Nothobranchius furzeri: one gene and its partners. The protein of the gene in region 2 binds, or shares a complex with, the protein of the main gene of each other region. Links are inferred from orthologs where the notes say so. Each region holds a gene or a part of one and is shown on either strand. Other genes may lie near its edges.

Region 1 (6,980 bases), on a different chromosome or scaffold from region 2:
TTTCACTATTCAAGCGGAGAATTTTTAAAGAAATATATAATTAAGAAATATTAAGCAGAGATATGTATTTACTTCAACTTTAAACAAAATCTAACAGGAAACTTCCTGAAAACGCATAATTGAATCGGTTTAGCTGCAACCGGTAAAATAGTTTATAGGATATAGGTTTATATAAAGCTTCGGAGAGATATAAAACATTTCTGAGCTCAGCACAAGCTTGACATTTGTTGATTTCCTGTGAAGAGACAAGTTTACTTCAACTCAGCATGGCGCTAACAGCTTTAGCTAACAGCATTAAGCTCCGACACTCACCGATAATCATCGTCTCGTCTGGAATTTCCTCTATGAAACATTTCTTCTCGGTCTCTCCGATGTGAAAGTACAAAGAGGAGACGCAGATGTATAAAGCATTCAGGAATAAAACTGAAAACACAAACGACTGCTGCATCTTGAACCGCAACGACACCATCTTCCTGCCGGGACAGACTTGTCACTGAGCATGCGCAGGAACAACAGTGCCACGTAAACCCTCGAAAAGTCCTGGCCAATCAGTACGCTGCTGATGCATGCTGGATATTGCCGTTTTTTTGACACCTTGGCCCTTATTTGAATTAAAATGCTTTCAACGATTTTACAGAACCCTCTGCGATTTTTTGGTTTGGATCGAAATGGGATGTGATTAGTTTCAGAAAACGGATAGATTGATTTTCTGTATAAAGTGATCATTATTTGAACGTGATGGTTATTCTTTTGTCCGACAACAGACATACAATTTCATAAATAAACAATTAAACATTTTCTCCTGCAATCTTTGGGTGATAAATGATAGACTGAATGAATTTGAATTTATAAAGAAAACCAATAGGCTACTTCAGATGAAAAATAGAATAACCCAATTTTGTTTTGTTTTAGCTCTTTATTTGATGAATAATAGATTCATTTGTGGGAAAAATAATAAAGCTTGATTTGATATTTTATTAACGTAACTATATATTCTACAGAAAACACAAAAAACAAAACAGGTTTAGACCATCGACATACACATTAGACCCGTTTTTAATCCACGGGTGCACGTGAAAGACTGTAGAAACTCGATAGATCCAAAAGGGGGCAGTAGTGCAGCCCTTATGATGAAGAGGACCGAAAAAGAAAAACCAGCGCGACCGGAAGCACACAGACATGTAAAATGTAGAAGCTGCACTGAAATCCTCAGACTGCATAATGCATTTATGGCGTGAAATATAGTTTTCCTTTTTTGATTCATTACAAGCCTAAACGTTTTACGATTACAATAGTGTCGGAATAAACAGACAATATATATTTAAAAAAAACATACAACTGGTGAATAATTTTGAGCTAATGAGTTTGGTTTCTTTTAGTTTTAAAAACAATACATTCTTATTGATTTGGTTTAACTAGCACAAAATTATCTTAAGCTCAGTATACTGAAACGATCGATTACCCTGGTGATTGTATTACATTTTATGAGTAACAAACAACAAAAAAAGGCCTAAATAAAAAATAGCCTAAATTTTCTAAATTACTTGATTATTAATCACGAACAATTTTTATATGAAATAAAAATATTTTGATGAACACAAAACAGAGGTAAAGCCCAGTTTCAGTTAGACACCAATTAAACAAAATTAGTTTTCGTCACGTTTCTAACTAAAGATTGAAATGAATCGGGATTTGTCTTAATCCTGCTGTTAGTGTCTGTAGTGCAGTGCAGGCAGCTGATGGAGACTGTTCAGGGTCATCCTGACCAAATGAAGACGGGTGATGATCTGAATACATCTTAAAAAATAGAAAACATGAAGGCGAGTCACTTCTGAGATGCGCCTAAAATGTTCTGCACTGCGACCGGTGTGGATGGATTAAATTTTAAACAGAGATGTTCCGTACCACTGATGCTTCGAGTATGGATTGGGATTAGAGTAGTAAAAGATCTGCTGGCTTTTAGCTGTAAGCCGTTCCAAAAAGCCTGAGTCTGCTTCGCCCGTCTCCCTCTCCAATATGGCGGCTTCGAAATTACATAAAAGAAAGCAGCGTGTATGTGTTCTAAGTCTATGGTATCCATAGCAACCAGAAATCAAGACATGGCGCCTGGTGAGTTTCATGCAGTTGTTTGTTCCTTATAAACCGAATAAAAGTCCGCCGTCTGAATCTGTCGCGATGTTTATTTGGACCCAAATGAAAAGGGAAATGTAACGTTTTCGTTTCCGTTTGGAGGAAAAGCTAAAGAAAACGGCAGCCGAGGTTTATCTTGTCTGTGAACTGAAGCTAAGCGTCTGCTCGAACTGCGATGACCTAAAAATCAACACATTACTTATCAGCGAACACGTTACTGCGTATTACTCCTAAAAGCTACGCAGTAACAAATAATCTTTTTATTGTGGAAAACACGTATTTCGTGCTTTTTTACGTAAACAAAAATATTATTTTATAGATGCAAGATCCAGATGAGTGATTTTCTCTCTATATAAATAGCATTTAGAGCTAGTTACATCATTTAGCCCTACTGTTTTTCTTTTACTATTTTATCCATCAGTAGTAAGTCAGTAATTTTACTGATGCTGATTTTGAGCCTACAGCATACTAATTGCAGATGTTAATGAGAGCTTGGTTCTGTCTCTTCTGCAGGAAGCCAGCCTGTTGTATCCTTATATAACTGGCAGCTCATGTTTTACCTGCTGCTGTTATCCTTGACCGTCTCTCGTACAGCTCTCATCCACTCCTCTGCAGGTGCTCCTGTACCTGAACAGCTGGTACTTTGCTGCCTTCTACCTGGCAGAGATCCTCATGTTCATTTATAAAGGTCTGTGACATATTTACCAAATTTCCCACTTTCACAACAGCAGAAACTATAAACTCAGGAGGAACCATGATTAATCACATCTCAACTGTGCCTTCATCTGCTTTAGTTTTCAAATAAATCCTCAGTGTTCATGAGATAACACCTGGCAACCAAACAGCTCCTTGATGAAACCTTCTCTGTGGAAACCAAAAAGAGATGTGGTCCATTTTGTCTGTGCAGGAATCTTGTTGCCGTACCCATCAGACAATCTGGTTCTGGACGTGGTTCTGCTCCTTCTCTTCCTCGGTTTGGAGACTCTGAGGATCTTTTATGGTAAAGAACAGAAACAGCAAACATGAGTATTTAGAAATCAGTGTTTACTAGTTCTGTGAGCATGTATACGTCACCTCCTCCGGGTGACCACATACTTCCACAGTCACTATAGAGGCAGAGAATGGGTCTAGGGGTCTCATTTATCAGACATTGCGTAGATTCCTTAATAAAACCGTACTTAAGCTCAGCAAAAAAAAAGTACTTACGCCAAGCAGGTTTGTGATCTATCAAACATGGAGGACGCACAGCTGCACGCAATCTCCGCTTCATAAATCGGAGACTAACGAGAATGTTTCTCAGCTGCTTTTTAGTCACATCCCGCCCTCACCACAGCCACTTACTGCCATAAATAGCCAATGCAAAGTGCCTTGTGGATCTCATGCATATACATAAGCTGGCTTGTTGCAGCATTTCGATCACGACCGCAGATCAAGGAAGCGCTATTTCACAAGCAGAAATTCAGGTACTTGTGGGTGAGGTGGAGAAATGAAAGGAAGTGCTTTTGCAAAACAAGAGAAATTCCACGGAGTGGCACAATGTTGCTGAAGCCATCAATGTTTTGAATTCTTCAGAGAGATCTGTGGCGGATATAAAAAACTTTGTCCAATCAGGATTCGATCCCCAGACTCCCAGGTGAAAGTCACGCACGCTAACCAGCCACCCAAACAGAAATCTCCCCTGTACAAGTAGCCAGGGCGCATGATCAATCGGGTCACGGTGACAGGACGCTCACACTGTCTTGATCTGTCCCCCTGCTGATATTCTGCATTCCGTATTCTGCGCTTTAGGCTGTGTGTGTGTGCGCGCGTGTGTGTGTGCATGTGGGGGTCTTGTCTGTGTGAAAACGAAGCAGTACAAGTGATAATGCTGCAGGATTTCATAATTTTATCCTTCTCGGCAGCACTGCAGGTGCTCTCCATGTCCAACATGTGTGTAAGCAAGGTCCTTAGTCAACTTAAAGTTGCGCACATTTTCCTGCTAAGTTTTCTTTCATAAATCCCAAAGTTTGCGTGGAAAGTTCCTTACGCAGTTTTCCGACCCCGTGTTGTGTGTAAGCAAGCTTGATAAATGAGGCCCCAGGTCTATTTGTTTGATGCGCTGTCAGCTTCTCATGAACCCACAGAGAGATGGGATGCATTTCTCCATTTATTATAGCTTTTTACTGTTACAGGTGGCTTTAACTTAATTTGGGTCAAATCCCTAAACATAACGTGACCATGTAAACAAAGTAAGACGAACTGAATTGTAATGGTCAACAATAACTACGGCTACCCATCCCTCCTCTGTAAAACCACCAGGCGACAGACTGACAGCTCCTTTTGATTGCGACCACCTGCACCCATGTGGCCCCTGTTGCGTCACCATGACAACAAAAAGAGGAATAAAACAGAAACCCAGTGATCAACTCTCCCAACACATGTATTTAATTATGGCTCTACAGCACATGTAAGGACTTGTTTTTAAATCCCTGTGAAAATCCTGCACCAGACTGTCTTTGATAAATAACTGAACACAATCATTAAAACTGAAGCTGAACAGTTATATTAGTTATAACATAGAAGTCAGTGTCTCAGTTTGTGTGAACGTGTGTGTCTGAACACGTCATCCAGCAGGAGCTACTGAGAAGAACTCGTGAAGTGAAATGTTTACTGTAAACTCTTTAAACCTCTGATACAAGACTAAGCAGCCAAACCAGCTCTGATTTTAACTTAATGAATTTAACCAGTTTGAAACATGTTCAGTCATCACTGTTTATGAGACGTTTTATAGCAACAAGTACAACAGGTGTCTAAATATACTGAAATCAATTGATTTAAAAATATATAAAAAATAAAAGCTATATAAAGTTTTTAAAGAGGCTTGGATCCTCTGGTTTTAATATAAAGCTACGCACTTCCCAAACGTACCACATGAAATCTGAAGTCAAATCTTGGAAAAAATATCAAAAATCAAATCAAAACAAAACAACAACCACAACCAGTTCAATGACTTTCCCAACCAATCCACCAGTCTGAGGATTACCACAGCATACAGAAAGCAGGCAAAAAAATACCAAACAAACTTAATCATCATCACAAAGTGACATTTATGAGAATCTACACAAGTTCTATTTCATTTCCTGTTTTACCAAGGAAGACATAAATGTGCTTCTAAAAATTGAGGAGAATGTTTGGGTCGTCCCATCTGTGCTCTTGCCGTTAAAAGCCTCCGTTTGTGGGAGCCCTTCAGTGAAATGGAAGCAGGTTATTTTCTGCTTTAAGCAGATAGACCATCTCACTGAGTGGTGTGCATTGTGTCGTCGTCTAGGCTGGAAGGGGAACCTGTGTGAGCGTTCTCTGTCCTCCTGCATGTCCCTCTCCATCCTGCTTCCCTGTGCGGCACTGGCTGTTTATTACCTGCTGCTGCAGACCTTCGTCCTTCGCCTCGAGTTTATCCTCAGCTCCATCCTGCTCTGCTTCTACAGCCTAGAGTTTCTCCTTGGAGTCATCTCCATATCCACCTTCTCCAGGTGACCACATCTTGGGGGCTATTGGGGGCTTCAGAGGAAGTGACCTATTTTTATTTTATGGTTTGTTTTCCTTTTCCGTTTCTTCTGTAGGTCTAAGGTTTACTGAAGAACAAACCATCATCTGAAACACATCAGGACAGACCAGATGAGCCTTCCTCACTAAAAGGAACCTGTATTTTTATACAACGATATTATTTTGTAAATATGTTTAAAGTTTTCCTTCTGTAAGACTGTTTTATGTCTGAACTTTCTAAATAAAAGCCAAAGTGACAAAGCCAAACACTAAATCAGCCTCACATTTCTAAGGACAGAAGTAGAGTAGATCTGTTTTGACTCAGATCAGGAGTGCAGGTAACCATGATGTGGCGTTACTAGATGCTGGTAAATCCCACCACATAAACCACCACATAGATGACTCGGAGGATGGGCCACCAGAAGATCCACATGTTGGTGCTGTAGTTGATGCTGTAGAAGTAAGCCACCATGGCCTGAGAACACAGCGTTTTTTTAAAGGACAGCTCAGGCCTCAGGTATATGTACAGTCTATGGTCTACACCATGATTCACCCCCTCACCCTCCAGTAGTCCAACTCCTTTATCTGTTGGGCCTGATCAGTCAGCTGTTTGACTCTCAGCTGCAGAAATATCAGTCTGTTTTTGTTGTAGGTGGTGGTGCGGTCAGCGAATCTGATGTGCAGCTGGACCGCCTGCAACACAACAGGAAGTTTGTTTAGCTTCAGTTTTTCACTGAACTTTTAAACACATTAAGCTAAGTCCAGATAGGTCTGAAACACCAGAAGGTGGTAAAATAATCCATCAATACCAGAGGTGTTCCTCATGGATGAGTCCTTGGTTCTCTCCAATCTCATCAGTGAAAAGGTTGATATTAACATTTTTCTCATCAGCTTGTTTCCAGTTGAATGCCTCTGTTGGTTTAAAGGGGTATTCACGTGATCTGGATGCGGTTTAACCCAGAGCTTCGAGGTTCATCATAGACCCTGTAGTTCTACAAACCACCACACACAGGACTTATTCTGTTTTAATTCAATGTAGGTTATATATATAGCGCCAAATAACAACAAAAATATTCTCAAGGCACTTTGCAAAGTAAACATTCCAACTGAACCTACATAGTGTAGGGCTGCTCGATTATTGAAATCTTTAATTAGTGTTAGGGATGTGTATTGGTGAAATCTTATTCTGGCGATAGGATACATTTCACGATACAGGGGAGATGATACGAAATATCACTGCATATTGTGATACATTCAGCCAGATGATATTAGCAATTTTTTAGAGTGAAATTACTGTAGGAAAATTCAATCAACAGTCCAAAATAATT
Region 2 (7,055 bases):
TGAAGGCATCAAAACTATGAATGAACACATGTGGAGTTATGTACTTCGTCGACTCGTCGTCTTCCTCCGCTTATCCGGGTCCGGGTCGCGGGGGCAGCATCCCAACTAGGGAGCTCCAGACCGTCCTCTCCCCGGCCACCTCCACCAGCTCCTCTGGCAGGACCCCAAGGCGTTCCCGGACCAGATTGGAGATGTAACCTCTCCAACGTGTCCTGGGTCGACCCGGGGGGCTCCTGCCGGCAGGACATGCCCGAAACACCTCCCCGGGGAGGCGTCCAGGAGGCATCCTGACCAGATGCCCAAACCACCTCAACTGGCTCCTTTCGATCCGGAGGAGCAGCGGTTCTACTCCGAGTCCCTCCCGAATGTCCGAGCTCCTCACCCTATCTCTAAGGCTGAGCCCGGCCACCCTACGGAGGGAACTCATTTTGGCCGCTTGTATCCGTGGTCTCGTTCTTTCGGTCATTACCCAAAGCTCATGACCATAGGTGAGGATTGGGACGTAGCTCGACCGGTAAATCGAGAGCCTGGCTTTCTGGCTCAGCTCCCTCTTCACCTTCTGCTGGAACCGCAGCATTGTGGGAGGACACAAGATAGTGCGGTTTTCTAGGTCCAAACTTCTTTTGTTGGTCGTGACTTCAAATGGTGTTTTTCTCTTTGGGACTCTAGTAGTTTGTCCTAAAGTAGAAGTGGTAGCAGCCGGCTGTTTCTCCTTCTCTGATTTTAGTGGAGAACCTCTCACACCAGTGGTGTTCTGCTGCTAAATACGTGAGTGTGTGATGAACGGAGTACCCAGGGAAGTGTTTGGTTAAATAGCTGCTGGTGTTGGCGGTGGCTTTAACACAAATGCCAGAGAATCATTGAATGAATTTATTTCTTTTTTTAAATCTCCAGTTTAGCTTTACTACGTTAGAATGTTGTTAAGAGGCTAAAAGTTTTAGGCCAACTTGTTTTCCATATTTACTATAGAAGCTTTAACTTGGGTCTGACACAGCTTAGGAATACACAACTTGGGGTACATATGGGTTAGTTACTGGAGACCTGGTTGTTTTCAAGAGACTTGATACCACTCAGTCTGACGCAGTTGTTTTTTCACCCTCCTTGCATGCTGGTGGTGTTCAGGTGGAACTGGTGACTAGTGTGTACGGCAGACCCACCTCAGTCAGTTAGCCCCAGGGCAGCTGTGGCTACATTGTGACTCATCACCACCAGCATGTGAATGTGTGTGTGGATGAGTAAAAGACTGATGTATTGTAAAGTGCCTTGAGGGGTTTAAAGACTCTAGAAGGCACTATGCATACCATCTCCCATTTAGCTGTTACCTACAAGAGTATTTACAAATTAAAAAGTCTCGTTCACTTTTTTTTTTCAAGAAATGTGTTTTGGTCTCTATTATGACTGAATCCCTTTTTAGTCGTTTTCTGTACAAAAAATGCTCTGGTGTTGATTACAAGTCTTTCTCATTAATATTCATGATATGCCAACATCTAGCCTCTGATTGGCTTACAGCAATGTTAACAAAACCAAGAATACTATAAAATTGTTTTAAAGAACTATTATAGCTTTAAAATCTTCATAGTGTGTCCCTTTTAAATAAATGTGCTCATGGCGACAGACATGTTTTTTGTATTGGTATAACGCTGCATGTTTTTCTTAGCTTTTTAAACTACCGTAGTTTGTTGTTCATCTTTCCTGATTCAACAACGGTGAGCAGGATGCAATAGCGGTGAGTGACCGCTAGAGAGAGCTAAGTGAACATGAAACTGATTCCCACTTCACACTTGTTTCTCAATAATATGCAGCATTATTGAAAATGCAGCATTATTGAGAAAAGCATTTCACTGTATTAGGAGATTAAATTCTATCAAGTGTCATTAGTGACAAAAATATCTTTGTAGTTCTTAAGATATGTTTTTTTAAAAAGCATAATTTGTTTAAAACTATTAAAAGAGAATACATATTTGTTTGTCGTATCTCAAAAAGTTGTATTTAAAAACTTAAATTCTTATGAATAGATCGTTTTTCCTGCACATTTGTGTTCATATTTATTGTAATTGTGACTTGCTTACAACAAGGATCAGGCCATGAGGCAGCAGCAAAAGCAGAACATATCTTAGAACTTGATGAAAAGACACATAAAACAATTACAGACATAAAAAAACATTTTCGCATAAAAGTATAATCTACATGAAAAACACTGAGCTTTCCAGAAAAGATTAGCCTCCTTACAGGGTGAATCCATGTGGGGTCAAAGGTTATCCAACAGTCCCCGTCTACGGTTTCAACCTCTTCCACTGACAAAAAATGATTTCTATTCTATATTAATAACAATAATACATTTTGATATTTACGTCGATCCGTCGCTTTTATTTTGAAGACGTAAACATTGCTCTCGCGCGCACATCCGGTGTCCAAGAACGCTGCTCCAAACACAATTAGCGCGCTACTCGAGTTTAAAAACATTTTTGGAGTAGAATCTGCTTCTATTTTGATGAGGGTGTGACCGGGTTGCTTATTACTGTCGTGTTGTTCGGTGAAAAGATTAAGAATGGACGCAGGACACGCAAACGTGGGAAGTTTTTACCCTCTTTAGCTAGCCTTCATAGTGTTTTGTGATTTAAATACGTCAAATAATATCAATGCAATCCAGTCAAATGCTTTATTATTGTGTTAAGTTGTTCGTTTGAAGTGTTTATGTGATAATATTAATGTTGTACGCGATAATGCTCGAACTAATGTAAGTTCTTTGTATGTTCAGAGGGTCAGGGAGCTCCCTCCGCTAACACAGGTCAGTGACTCACACCCACGTACGCAGCCTCATCATTGTTTGTTCTCATATTATATGAATTACTTACTGCAGCCGCAGTGTCATAACAAACGGAGGGACCGCCGATCATACTAGCGTGCTCTTCCCCGGCTGCGCCATTCACACACTCACCACGTTTCCATGGCAACAGACGGTTAGATGATAGATGTTGTGTAAGAGAAGCATAACTCCAGTAACACCCACACAAATACTAAACGTCTAATGTAACGTTGGGACATATTTTAACTATGTTATTTTGCTACTGTAAGGAGTTTCAAAAATGTTTTTAAAGCTTTTTAAATCGTGAAAGCACGAACCGGAAGTCAGCTTTTACTTTGAAAGCAGCACCTCAGCTAGAAAGCGGAAGTACTGCAAATTTTATCGTAAAACGTTACAACGTAAAAGTAATGGTCCTTATTTGAGGAGTTTTAAAAGAAAATATGCTATTGGAAGATTTTAAATATTTTGTAAAATATCTTCATAACGGTGAAGAAATATTCAAAAACGTCTAAATCTTTATATTGTTATAGAAGTGTTTATTTTTATTACTAACATATTGCTTTGTCTAAAGAAGCACCTGCTTCATTGTGACTGCTGAGCATTAATAAATGTACACGATGGAAGTTAGAACTAGAAAGTCAGGTCATTTAAAAATGTTTCAGATAAGCAAAAAATGTAAATATCAGTCAAATATAACCTGGGTTAACATAAAACGAAGGAGTAGAAAGCTATCCAAAACAACTTTGCCCTATCTTTAAACACTTTTCCCCTTTTGTTAAATTAACCCCTTATCTATAAAGATAACTTCACTTCCCCTGTTGAAGAATTGTAGCATTAAGAAATCACTTCAATAGAATTTGTCTGATAGCATGAAGAAGGAAGGTTAAAAGACCTCAAAAAGCAACAAACCATGCCCCGTTCGTAAGGGATTCAGGAAAAAAGGAATCCAGAACGACATCTGAATCCCCTCAGGTCTGAGTACCATGACAAGCCCACTACTGACCAAGGATTTACCAACAACCACCATATAGCTTTATGAAACTTTGGAGCTCTTTGTTTATTATTTATATACTTAAATATGCAAGTGAGGCCTTTGAGTAGTTTACTGTTGTACCAGTATCATTAGAAAGATTAAACCAGATTCCACTGAATCCTTTCATTTTAAACTTCTCTGTAATAAACCACTTCACTGCTGCTTCATCTGACCTTTGACCCCAAGTAATCCTCAGTCCTGCCAGATTTAGCCGAGGATTTCAGAGTTGGGATGACGCGTGTTGCTTTGCTTCACTTTGACTCAGTTCTTAGTTGAAATAACCAGAACGACGACGGTAAGATTTTTGTCATCTTGCCTGTTTGATATGATCTTGTCACTAACGAGAGTCGGTGCTTTAAATACACTCATGCCGTGTGCTTGTCTGGTTTTGTAGGAGAGGATGTGACTGTTTGTAAAAATGGATTTACTGAAATGTCTTGCCACGGATCTGGTTTGTATTTGGCGATACCACTTCTGAAAATTCAGTTTCATTAGAGAAAATAACTGCTAGCTAGATGTTTTTTTTTTTTTGCCCTTTTCTGACCGACATGCCGTGTTTGACAGTTTCCAGTTAGATTTAATAGCACTTCATACTGAAAGGTAAACATGCATGTCTTTCATTTAACGTGTTGCCTTTAAATTCCATTAGTTTGCAATACATTACTCTAATGTTGTAACCAGCGGGGATCCAAAGGGAATATTTTTATTTTGAGGAAAGCACTTTGATTAGTGCTTTGCACACTCCTCAAAACTTAGTTTAGGCAGCATAATTATTCATTTTCACTTTTAAACAGGGGTCAGTGGCTGAGTTACAGCGGGCTAACATACTGTTAAAAAGAGAAATTACAAAGGCTAAACATGAATATAGAAGACAGCTGGAGAACAAAATGGCAGCAAATAAACTTGGTTCAGCATGGACTAGCATGAGAATTATTGCAGGACATGGCTCCGAGGCACAGTACACAACCATCTGTCTAGACCCGTTTAACACTGACAGGGAACTAGCTAATGCCCTGAACAGTTTTGATTGTCGGTATGACGCTCTGGATTTCAGCGGGGAACAGGGTGTCCTGAGGGAGAAATTTAAGGATAGTGACCATTTTAAAGTTGACATGGAGGACATAGGTAGGGCCATCAGGACAGTTAGAGTGGACAAGAGCCGAGGACCAGATGACATTTGTGGCCACTTACTTAAATTCTGTGCATACCAGCTGACACCTATACTGCACCACATTTTTAATGAATCTTTACGGTTACAAAAGTTCCCTGAACCGTGGAAGGATGCAGAAATTGTACCGATTCCTAAGGTGAGACATCCAGGTATTTTAAATGATTTCCGCCTTGTTGCTCTAACTTCCATTTTAATGAAAATCTTTGAAAAGCTGGTTAGATGCGAGCTTTTAAAGCAGACACAGCGACTGCTGGACCCTCTACAGTTTGCACATCAGGCTGGGAGGGGTGTGGAGGATGCAACGGTCACTCTGTTAGATATGCTTTTCATCATCTGGACCTAGTAGGAACTCATGCTCGACTCCTCTTTGTGGACTTTTCGTCCGCTTTCAACACCAACCTACTGCTTTGGTTAATAGGCTAGAGGAACAGTTTCACCTGAGTAAAAGCATGCTTGGGTGGATACTAGATTTTATGAGCAACAGAACACAAAAGGTCAGAGTGAATGGTACCCTGTCGGATAAGAAAAATGTGTCTACCGGATCTCCCCAGGGCTGTGTTTTGTCCCCCTTGTTGTATATTTTATACACTAACATGTGCCGAGGCAAACATGAGAGAAGGACAATTATTAAATATGCTGATGATTCGGTAGTAGTAAGTCTCCAGAGAGAAGGAGATTACAGCCGTGGACCTGTTCTTGATGATTTTATCTCTTGGTGTGATGAATCATATCTACAACTTAATGTAATTAAAACAAAAGATACGATCATCGATTTTAGAAGGCAGCCACAACAACAGCATGATCTTTCCATAATTAAAGGTCAAACGATTGAGCAAGTGAAATCATATAAATATTTGGGGACAATTATTGACAAGGAGTTGAATTTTGAGGAAAACTGTGATGCTGTGGGTAAGAAAGGCCAGCAGCGTTTGTACTGCCGTAGAAAACTGGCCTCATTCCATGTGGACAGGACTATAATGTCCATGTTTTATTGTTCTTTTATTGAAAGTGTTTTATCCTTTTCCTTAGCCTCATGGTTTGGTCAGGTAAATCTTAAACAAAAGGAAACGCTGAACAGGATAGTAAAGTGGTCCGGTCGTCTGCTTGGAAAACAGGGAAAAGTGTGGCACAGCTGTACAGTGGACAGGTAGAGAGGATTGCTAAAGCTATTGTTAGGGACACGGGACACCCACTGCATGGCCAGCTTACTCTCCTGCCATCTGGACGGAGATTTATTGTGCCAAAGTGCAGGACCAAGAGGTGCAAAACAAGCTTTATTCCCAAGGCAGTAACGTTACTTATTTTTATTTTTATTCATTTATTGTTTATATTTTTCATTGATGTGTGTGTTTTGTGACTGTGTGTGTAACCTGGGCGCTAATTCTCGTGTCACATGGCAAATCAAATTCACCTGTGGGTATTAATAAAGTTACCTTGAACCTCAAAACTTAGTTTTGGCAGCACAATTATTCATTTTCACCTCAAACTAGAGCTTTTAGTGCATTTAGACCAACATTAAAACGGGCAAGAAGAAACAAGAAAAAAGAACAAAATATGTATTCAGGACAAAAGTAACCATGCTAAAAATGCAGACGTGTGTTTTATTTTTTTCCCTCTGCGTTTTAAAGGGCTTTATGCATGTTGAATAAATGTAGTGGTATCATTTTGGATGACGGCATGCTCGTTAAACAATAAATGTTTACATAAAACAAATGTGTTCTGAGTGCAAATTTAAATGTATATATGTCATTTTACTTATAATATAGTAATGACCCCTCCCACTGCAGGAGCTGCAATGGGCAAGGTGCATTGTGGGTAGGCAAGTTCTTAGATAATTTGTTCTGTTTTGGCCTGTACCGTGTTGCTTCCGTGCAACTCCCGTTATGGTGGGCGAACGTTACGCTGCCGTTGGAGGGATGCACGCGGAATGTTTCGCTGCCGTGTGTCTCCCGTTAGAGCTGGGCGGGGAGGGGGAGGGAGGATTTCGTAGCCGTGGCGCAGCGCCACACCTGGACCTATGCCTGTAACTATAATTATTTATTAAG
Region 3 (6,580 bases), on a different chromosome or scaffold from region 2:
AACTGGAAACAAGGTGAAATAATGTTTCAGTTTCTTGAATCTAGTGCCATTCAGGGAAATCTGAATGAAACTGATGTGCATTACTCTGCTTTGCTTTTGCAGCACCGGTGGCTCAAACAGCTCTGACTCAGATGGACTTCCAGTTCATCTCCTGCAGCAGCTGCAGAATGCAGAAGTATACAAAGACTAATTAAACCAAATTATGTTGTTTTTTTCCTCTAAGGGAAATTAGTTTGTAGCATTGTTAGTTATTTCATTTAAAAATACCCAATTTAAACAAATAAATGTTGGTATGAAGCACACCTGACACTGAAAAAAAGAAATATTTTATACTTGGTCTTTTCCAGGTGTTTTGTCCCATGACTGCTAGGAAATAGGGACAGAGCAGTGTGCAGTAAAAGTTACTTTTGTCACTTCGTTAAAAAAAAAGTCTCAGCAGCTCATCATTCCCTGTTTTGGGTAATTACCTACTCACATTGTTCTCTCCTACAGAAAAAAGTCAAGAAGAAAAAGAAACGACTGAAGTCTCGCAGAGAAAGAAACGGGCTGCAGCCAGACGGAGCGAGGAGTAGTGCACGGCCAAAAGTCCTACAACGCAGCAGCACGAGTATCGTAAGACTAGTAAAGAGCCCTTGCTGCTCAGATTAAATTAGTTCTGTAAGCTGATGAGTAACCGTTTCTGCAGGAGGCTGACCTGCCTCAGGACAACACAGATAAGCAGAGAAAAAGAGAGAAACCTGTTGGAGGAGAAAGAAGGAAACAGCAGGTAAAAACTACAGTAAGTAGAAATATGATATGTGATACAAGTAACTAGGTGGGAAGTTTGATTTCCTGATAAGAGACTTTTATTTTGAAGCTCAACACCCTCATAAAAAAGGTTGAACTCTCATCTCCCACTGGTAACCATGGAGACGCCAGTCAGGGGACTCTGAGGAAAGACTGCAAGCACATCTTGGTAAACATTATTTCGGTAACACTTTACAATAAGGGTCCCTTTATTAATGTTACTTAGTGCATTATTAAGCATGAATAAATTATTAGATAAAAGTGTTAACAACAGCTTAACCATATTATGTAATGCATTACTAAGCAGATATCGTCCATGGCCCTTTGTCCTAACCTTAAGGACACCTAATAGTTAACAATAGTGGAAATGTTTTGTTTATTAATGCACTAAGATTAATAATGGGGCCTCTATTGTCAAGTGTAACTGTTATTTCTGCTACAAAATTACATGACCTTTAATTTTTGATCATTAATGAAAGATAATAAAAAGTGTTATTTTAATTCCAACTTGTGGATCTTTCTATGGTATTTTTTTGTGTGTTTTAGGAAAACTGCTCAGGGAGCCGGTGCACTTCATGCCTTCAGCGGAGAGCGTCTCCACATGCCGACACGCGCGCAGCTGCGTCACCCCACTCAGGTAAGGTTAGGAGACACATAGGAGGTTTTCCAGCAGATAAGGACGCATGACTCGTTTCACAGGTGATGCAATAGTGAGAGGACAGTGGAAATGCTCCTCTCAGCTACTACACCTGAGTGCTCTCCTTCCACTTCCTCCAACTTTCATTCCCTCTGCGCAGCACCAGCGTTTCCCTCTGCGCCAATCTCTTTCCCACTCTCAAGTCTGCAGAGGTTTGTTTCTTGAACAGCAGCTTAAAGTCTCCATCGGTTTTTGCCTAATGCGAACCACCTTCTTCTTTCAGGGCTGACATCTCCTTTTGCAGCACCTGGCAGGTAAACTTCATGGATAGATTATAGTTTATTACAAAAGGGTGTGTTGTGTGTTCATAATTTTTGTATGCTGTGTTGCTTTCATGGCAGATGTCCCCCATCTTTGTCTACCAGCATGGCTCCAGCTGTTGTTCCAAAAAACCAGCCGCTGACGAGTTTCACCTCCACCAATACCAGCAGTCGGCATCGTTTTAGAAACAGATCTTGTCTTCAGGCGTCCTCCACATCAAACACAAACCTAATCAAGACAAAGCAGTGAAACGGGTGCCAGGATTCTTCTCAAAGTTCAGCTGCATTTTAATAGAACAAGTTATTTTTGTGACAATGATGCTTCATTGGGAAGATCTAACAGAAAAACACATACGTTTTATACCAAATCTCACTTATCTCTTCGTCTTGTGACAATAACATGCTTTAATTCTTCTGATTATTCTAATGCAATCTCATGATTTCTCAAATAATATTTTCAGTACATGAAAATAAATGTTGTAAAAAATATAAAATAAAATAAAGCACTTGGGTGTTTCATGAATTTTGTTGAAACTTTCTGTTTTGGTCAGAACGTTTCAGTCCCTCTGAAGCAAAAAGCTCCTGAACAAAGAGCAGCGTAAATGTCGGTAACTTTGTACAAAAATTTCTTTTGTAATTAAAAAATAACTAAATGGTCAACAAATCTAAACCAGATGCTAACTAACAGTACAGAGTGAGTCAAGTAAACATGATTTACTTCAAATTTACAAAAGCAATGATACAAGTGGAACAAAATACAAAAATAAATATTTTCTATTATTTTTTAGCATTAAATTTAAAATTGTGTGAAGAAAGTGTACCAAATCCTATATGCAAATACATAGTTTTTGTCATTTGAGACTGGGAGGTATGAAGTAAGAATAAATCCTGATCAAATGGAACACCAGAACATATGTGGACGTCAGTCAAACTGTTGGAGATGAAACTGGCTTCCTGTGTGTCTAACCATTTCCCGCAGGGCCACAAAACCAAAGACAGCCTGGATCAATCAGAAAACAAAAAAAAAACAGATTACAATCAGTCACAATTACTTGATCTCAAATTTGAGAAAACACAATAACATGTGTATTTAGGTGCATTTGCCACGTAAAATGGAGCTGAGAATCCAGTCATACCTGTGTGAGGATAAATATGGCAAGAACTATGTGGACACCTCTCTCCAAGGGCAGTATGATTATGGCTTCATTAAAAAGTTGAAAAAGAATGAGTGGAAACTGCAGCAGGATGCTCAGCAGCCAAAAGCCGGCCAACTCTGGAACCTTCCACAGATCAGAAATTACATTCAAACCCCACCCTGCATTCAGCACCTGTATCATGTCATCTGAGATGGTCTCACCTTTTCTTGCAGGTTTCCAGAGTAACCAAGATAAAGTCTGATGGCCTCAATCAGAGTCATCAGTAGAAGAACAGTCACAAGGACAAACTTGTAGTAATTTGGAAGGGCAGGATACTGCAAGAACAACTACCATCAGCATTCTTGTTGTGTTGGAAGCTTCAAAACATACATGAAAAATCTGATTCTAAAATGAATTGCTATAGTTTAATACATATCCATACTTAAGCACCAAAGTATCCTAAATCTAGCTTAGATATTTGGGATTTTTCTTTCTTTCTGGGTTTTCTGCTCGCGGCTTCCATCCACCAACCTCGTACCTTGAGGTGAAGCATCACAGCTTCACTGATCCACCAGAACGGGAAGAACCACGTGTTAAAGTACAAAGACATCTGGAGCTGGAGGCTGGACAGAACCCGTTTGTCTAAACACATACAAAAAAAATGAGGGGAACTAACTAAAATCGGTATGGTAAAGTAACAAGGCTACACACATCCATGCTAACATCCATGCTAACTCGACTTCATAGTTAGCTTGTGTTTTTGTTTTTTTTTTTTACCGTGAGGTATAAACGAGTCGTTGTGTTTTGAGAACGGCTCATTACGAGTCTGGTCGAATAAAACATTCCGAGAAAAATCTTCTAAGCGCCTCCTAACTGTCTCCGGCAGCTCCATTGCAAAGAAAATCAGGCTAAAAACAACATGACCAGAGGAGAAACACTTCCGCTTTTTCCTACTAGCTCCGTCGTGAAAGCCACCGTCGTTTCCATGGTAACCATTGATGGTAGTGGGGGTGAGAGAAAGTGAAAGGCCAGAAGCAAAACGTGTCTCCTTTTGCGTTTTCAAAACTTCCCAGATTTTAACTACATTGATAATAAAAATTTAAAAAGCGAGACTAGATAGGGGGGAGAGTATAATGTGTAGCTCAAATAATATTTATGGAAGCTGATTAACGCTACTCATTAAAAAATATCTCATTTCATTATTATGAGATAGCATTTGATATGGCTTTATGTCTCAGAATAATTAGTTACTATGAGACAGCATCATAATTTTTACTAGCTATCTCATTATAGTGATACTAGGGTTGCAGCTATCGAACATTTTAGTATTCGAACATTCTATCGAACCCTCTGTTGATTCTCTTTGACAATGTTTTAAGTGAAACAAAATTGTGGCTTTCTGCAAAAAATGTGTATGTAAAAATAGTATGTATTCAATAGGTGTTGTCTAGTTCCCTCCCTCTCTGCACCAGTAAAATTTGGTGCACATATTTAAACCCTCCCACTGTCCTAATGGGTGTGACCCCACGAGGAAAGTTGACCATTGAGCAGGGTTGATGGTTTATCCCTTGGGTCCACGTGGCAGGGGTGAGGAGTGAGCACCACCTCACCCCTGCCACGTGGACCTCAAGGGATAAACCATCAATCCTGCTTTATGGTCAACTTTCCTCGCGGGGTCACCCATAAAGACAGTGGGAGGGTTAACAAAGTCTTGAATCAGTAAAAAATAGTTCATGAAATTTAATTAATCAAACCATTCATACCATTTAATGATTAATTTCCACCCTACGTGATGAGATGTGGGGCTGAAATGAATAGATAGTATCTCATAATTATGAGACGCTATCCCTAAATAATGAGATTGTGTCTTGTTATTATGAGATAGGTAAGTCATAATTATGAGATACATTTTTTTAATCAGAGTGGCAGGAATGGGCTTCCATACTTATGGGAACCATGCTCAGTAAGTTTTTTTTAGTTATACAAGTCAGGCAAATAACACCAGGAGGAGGAAAAAACCTGTTTCATAGTTGTTGTTTTTTTGCTTTAAGAGAAAATGAAAATTACTGATTGTGTGTGAAGCCACTCCCGCTCTAGCAGAAACTAGGATGGCTGCAACAAGAGAGGCAGCTGATTCTCTGTCCAGCTACATGTGTTCAAAGCTGATGAAGAACCCTCTTTACTGTGGACATGTGGACTTCTGCATGGACTGTGTGAACAGCTACTGGGTCCTGAAGGAGACGAGAGGTGTTTACAACTGTATTCAGTGTCTACACACATTCCCCTCAAGACCTGTGCTGAACAAGAACACAGTTCTGGCTGATCTGATAGTAAAACTGGCTAAATCAGACCAAGCCACCATTGCTGGAGAAGAGGAGTCTGGGTCAGAAGGTGTGGAGTGTGATTTCTGCACTGTGAAGAAGCTGAAAGCTATCAGATCGTGCTTGGTGTGTCTGGCCTCTTATTGTGCCACACATGTGCAGCCTCACTGAGTCTGCTGCTTTCAAAAGGCACAAGCTGGTGGAAGTGTCATCTTCCATGCAAGAGAAGATCTGCTCTAAGCACGACAAGCTGCTGGAGGTTTGCTGTCGCACTGACGATGAATGCATTTGTCTGCTTTGTGTCATGGATGAGCACAAAGGTCATTACACTGTATCAGCTGCAGCAGGGCGGAAAGAGAAACAGGTACGCTTTTTTTGGTTGGTTATTGGATCCCAAAGATACAGCATATAGATAAAATGTAGAGACTTTATTCCTACATTTTAAATGTCCTTGTGGTTGAACACATTATTGAGCAAAAACAAATAAGTAAAACTTCTATATTTTATTAGAAACATGTTGGACACAAGAAGCTATTCCAGCAAGGACTTCATGAAAAAGAGAAGCGTCTGCGACAGCTGAGACAGAAAATAAAAGCATTACAGGTGGTTATAGTTAACAGATTAACACGAACACATTATTAAATTATTAAATAATATGTGTATATATTTATTTTTCTTTCTTTCAGTGCTCTAGAGATGCAGCACTTGATCAAAATGAGAAGGCCTATGCTGAACTGGTGTTGGTGGCAGATTAAAGACGTGCTGCTCTGAAGGAACAGATCATGCATCAGGAAAAAGCAGCTCTGGGCCAGGCTGAGGCACTCATAGGACGACTCCAGAGGCAAACCAGTGATCTGAGGAAGAGACGGGATGAGCTGAAGCAGCTGTTATTAACTGATGATAACATTTATTTTCTGGAGGTGAAAAAACACAAACTCATGCACAGTTTATGGAGTTTATATGGCAGAATTTAATGCTCTTGTTTTATAATTGTCCAGCAATACAGGCAGATTTTTGATGGGAAAGAACTTGATGCAAGCCCTACGTGCAACTTTGACCCACATGTAGCCTTTGATTTTGTGACAAAGGCTTTGTCCGACGTGAGAGACAAAATGGAAATTGCGACAAAAGCTATTCAAGAAATGTCAGAAACAAGTAAGAAAACATATGTTCTGGTGTGTGTGTGTGTGTGTGGTGCTCTTAATGAAACATCCCATCTTCTGTTTTTAGTTGAAGCTGACGCCAATCCAAAGACCAGGCAGGATATGTCTGTGTGTGAGTGATTTGTGTAAAACATTTCCCATCTGGCTTCAGCAGTGATCAAACTGAATCACATTGTCTCTCTTTGGACATTTCAGATTCCTGCAGCCTGAGTTTGAA

The links.
Region 1: transmembrane protein 237B (region 2) and tmem216 share a complex: the UniProt entries of both Homo sapiens proteins name them as parts of the tectonic-like complex. The link is inferred for Nothobranchius furzeri from reciprocal best matches to the Homo sapiens genes TMEM237 and TMEM216.
Region 3: transmembrane protein 237B (region 2) and tmem17 share a complex: the UniProt entries of both Homo sapiens proteins name them as parts of the tectonic-like complex. The link is inferred for Nothobranchius furzeri from reciprocal best matches to the Homo sapiens genes TMEM237 and TMEM17.

The regions. Positions count from the first base shown.
Region 1 is NC_091741.1:65,724,279-65,731,258, forward strand, and holds tmem216 (transmembrane protein 216), read left to right. Parts: upstream 1-2,032; 5' UTR 2,033-2,054; coding exon 2,055-2,109; intron 2,110-2,643; coding exon 2,644-2,657; intron 2,658-2,724; coding exon 2,725-2,818; intron 2,819-3,037; coding exon 3,038-3,130; intron 3,131-5,437; coding exon 5,438-5,639; intron 5,640-5,729; coding exon 5,730-5,745; 3' UTR 5,746-5,925; downstream 5,926-6,980. Other genes in the region: tmed9 (transmembrane emp24 domain-containing protein 9), read right to left, coding at 313-469. UniProt on the Homo sapiens protein: Part of the tectonic-like complex which is required for tissue-specific ciliogenesis and may regulate ciliary membrane composition.
Region 2 is NC_091742.1:64,220,360-64,227,414, reverse strand, and holds the start of transmembrane protein 237B, read left to right. Parts: upstream 1-2,364; 5' UTR 2,365-2,548; coding exon 2,549-2,572; intron 2,573-2,758; coding exon 2,759-2,788; intron 2,789-7,055. UniProt on the Homo sapiens protein: Component of the transition zone in primary cilia. Required for ciliogenesis.
Region 3 is NC_091744.1:77,711,563-77,718,142, reverse strand, and holds tmem17 (transmembrane protein 17B), read right to left. Parts: upstream 3,855-6,580; 5' UTR 3,772-3,854; coding exon 3,657-3,771; intron 3,522-3,656; coding exon 3,418-3,521; intron 3,215-3,417; coding exon 3,101-3,214; intron 3,024-3,100; coding exon 2,880-3,023; intron 2,744-2,879; coding exon 2,666-2,743; 3' UTR 2,008-2,665; downstream 1-2,007. Other genes in the region: agbl2 (cytosolic carboxypeptidase 2), read left to right, coding at 1-13, 103-175, 493-612, 686-778, 857-955, 1,333-1,423, 1,486-1,635, 1,707-1,737 and 1 more. UniProt on the Homo sapiens protein: Transmembrane component of the tectonic-like complex, a complex localized at the transition zone of primary cilia and acting as a barrier that prevents diffusion of transmembrane proteins between the cilia and plasma membranes.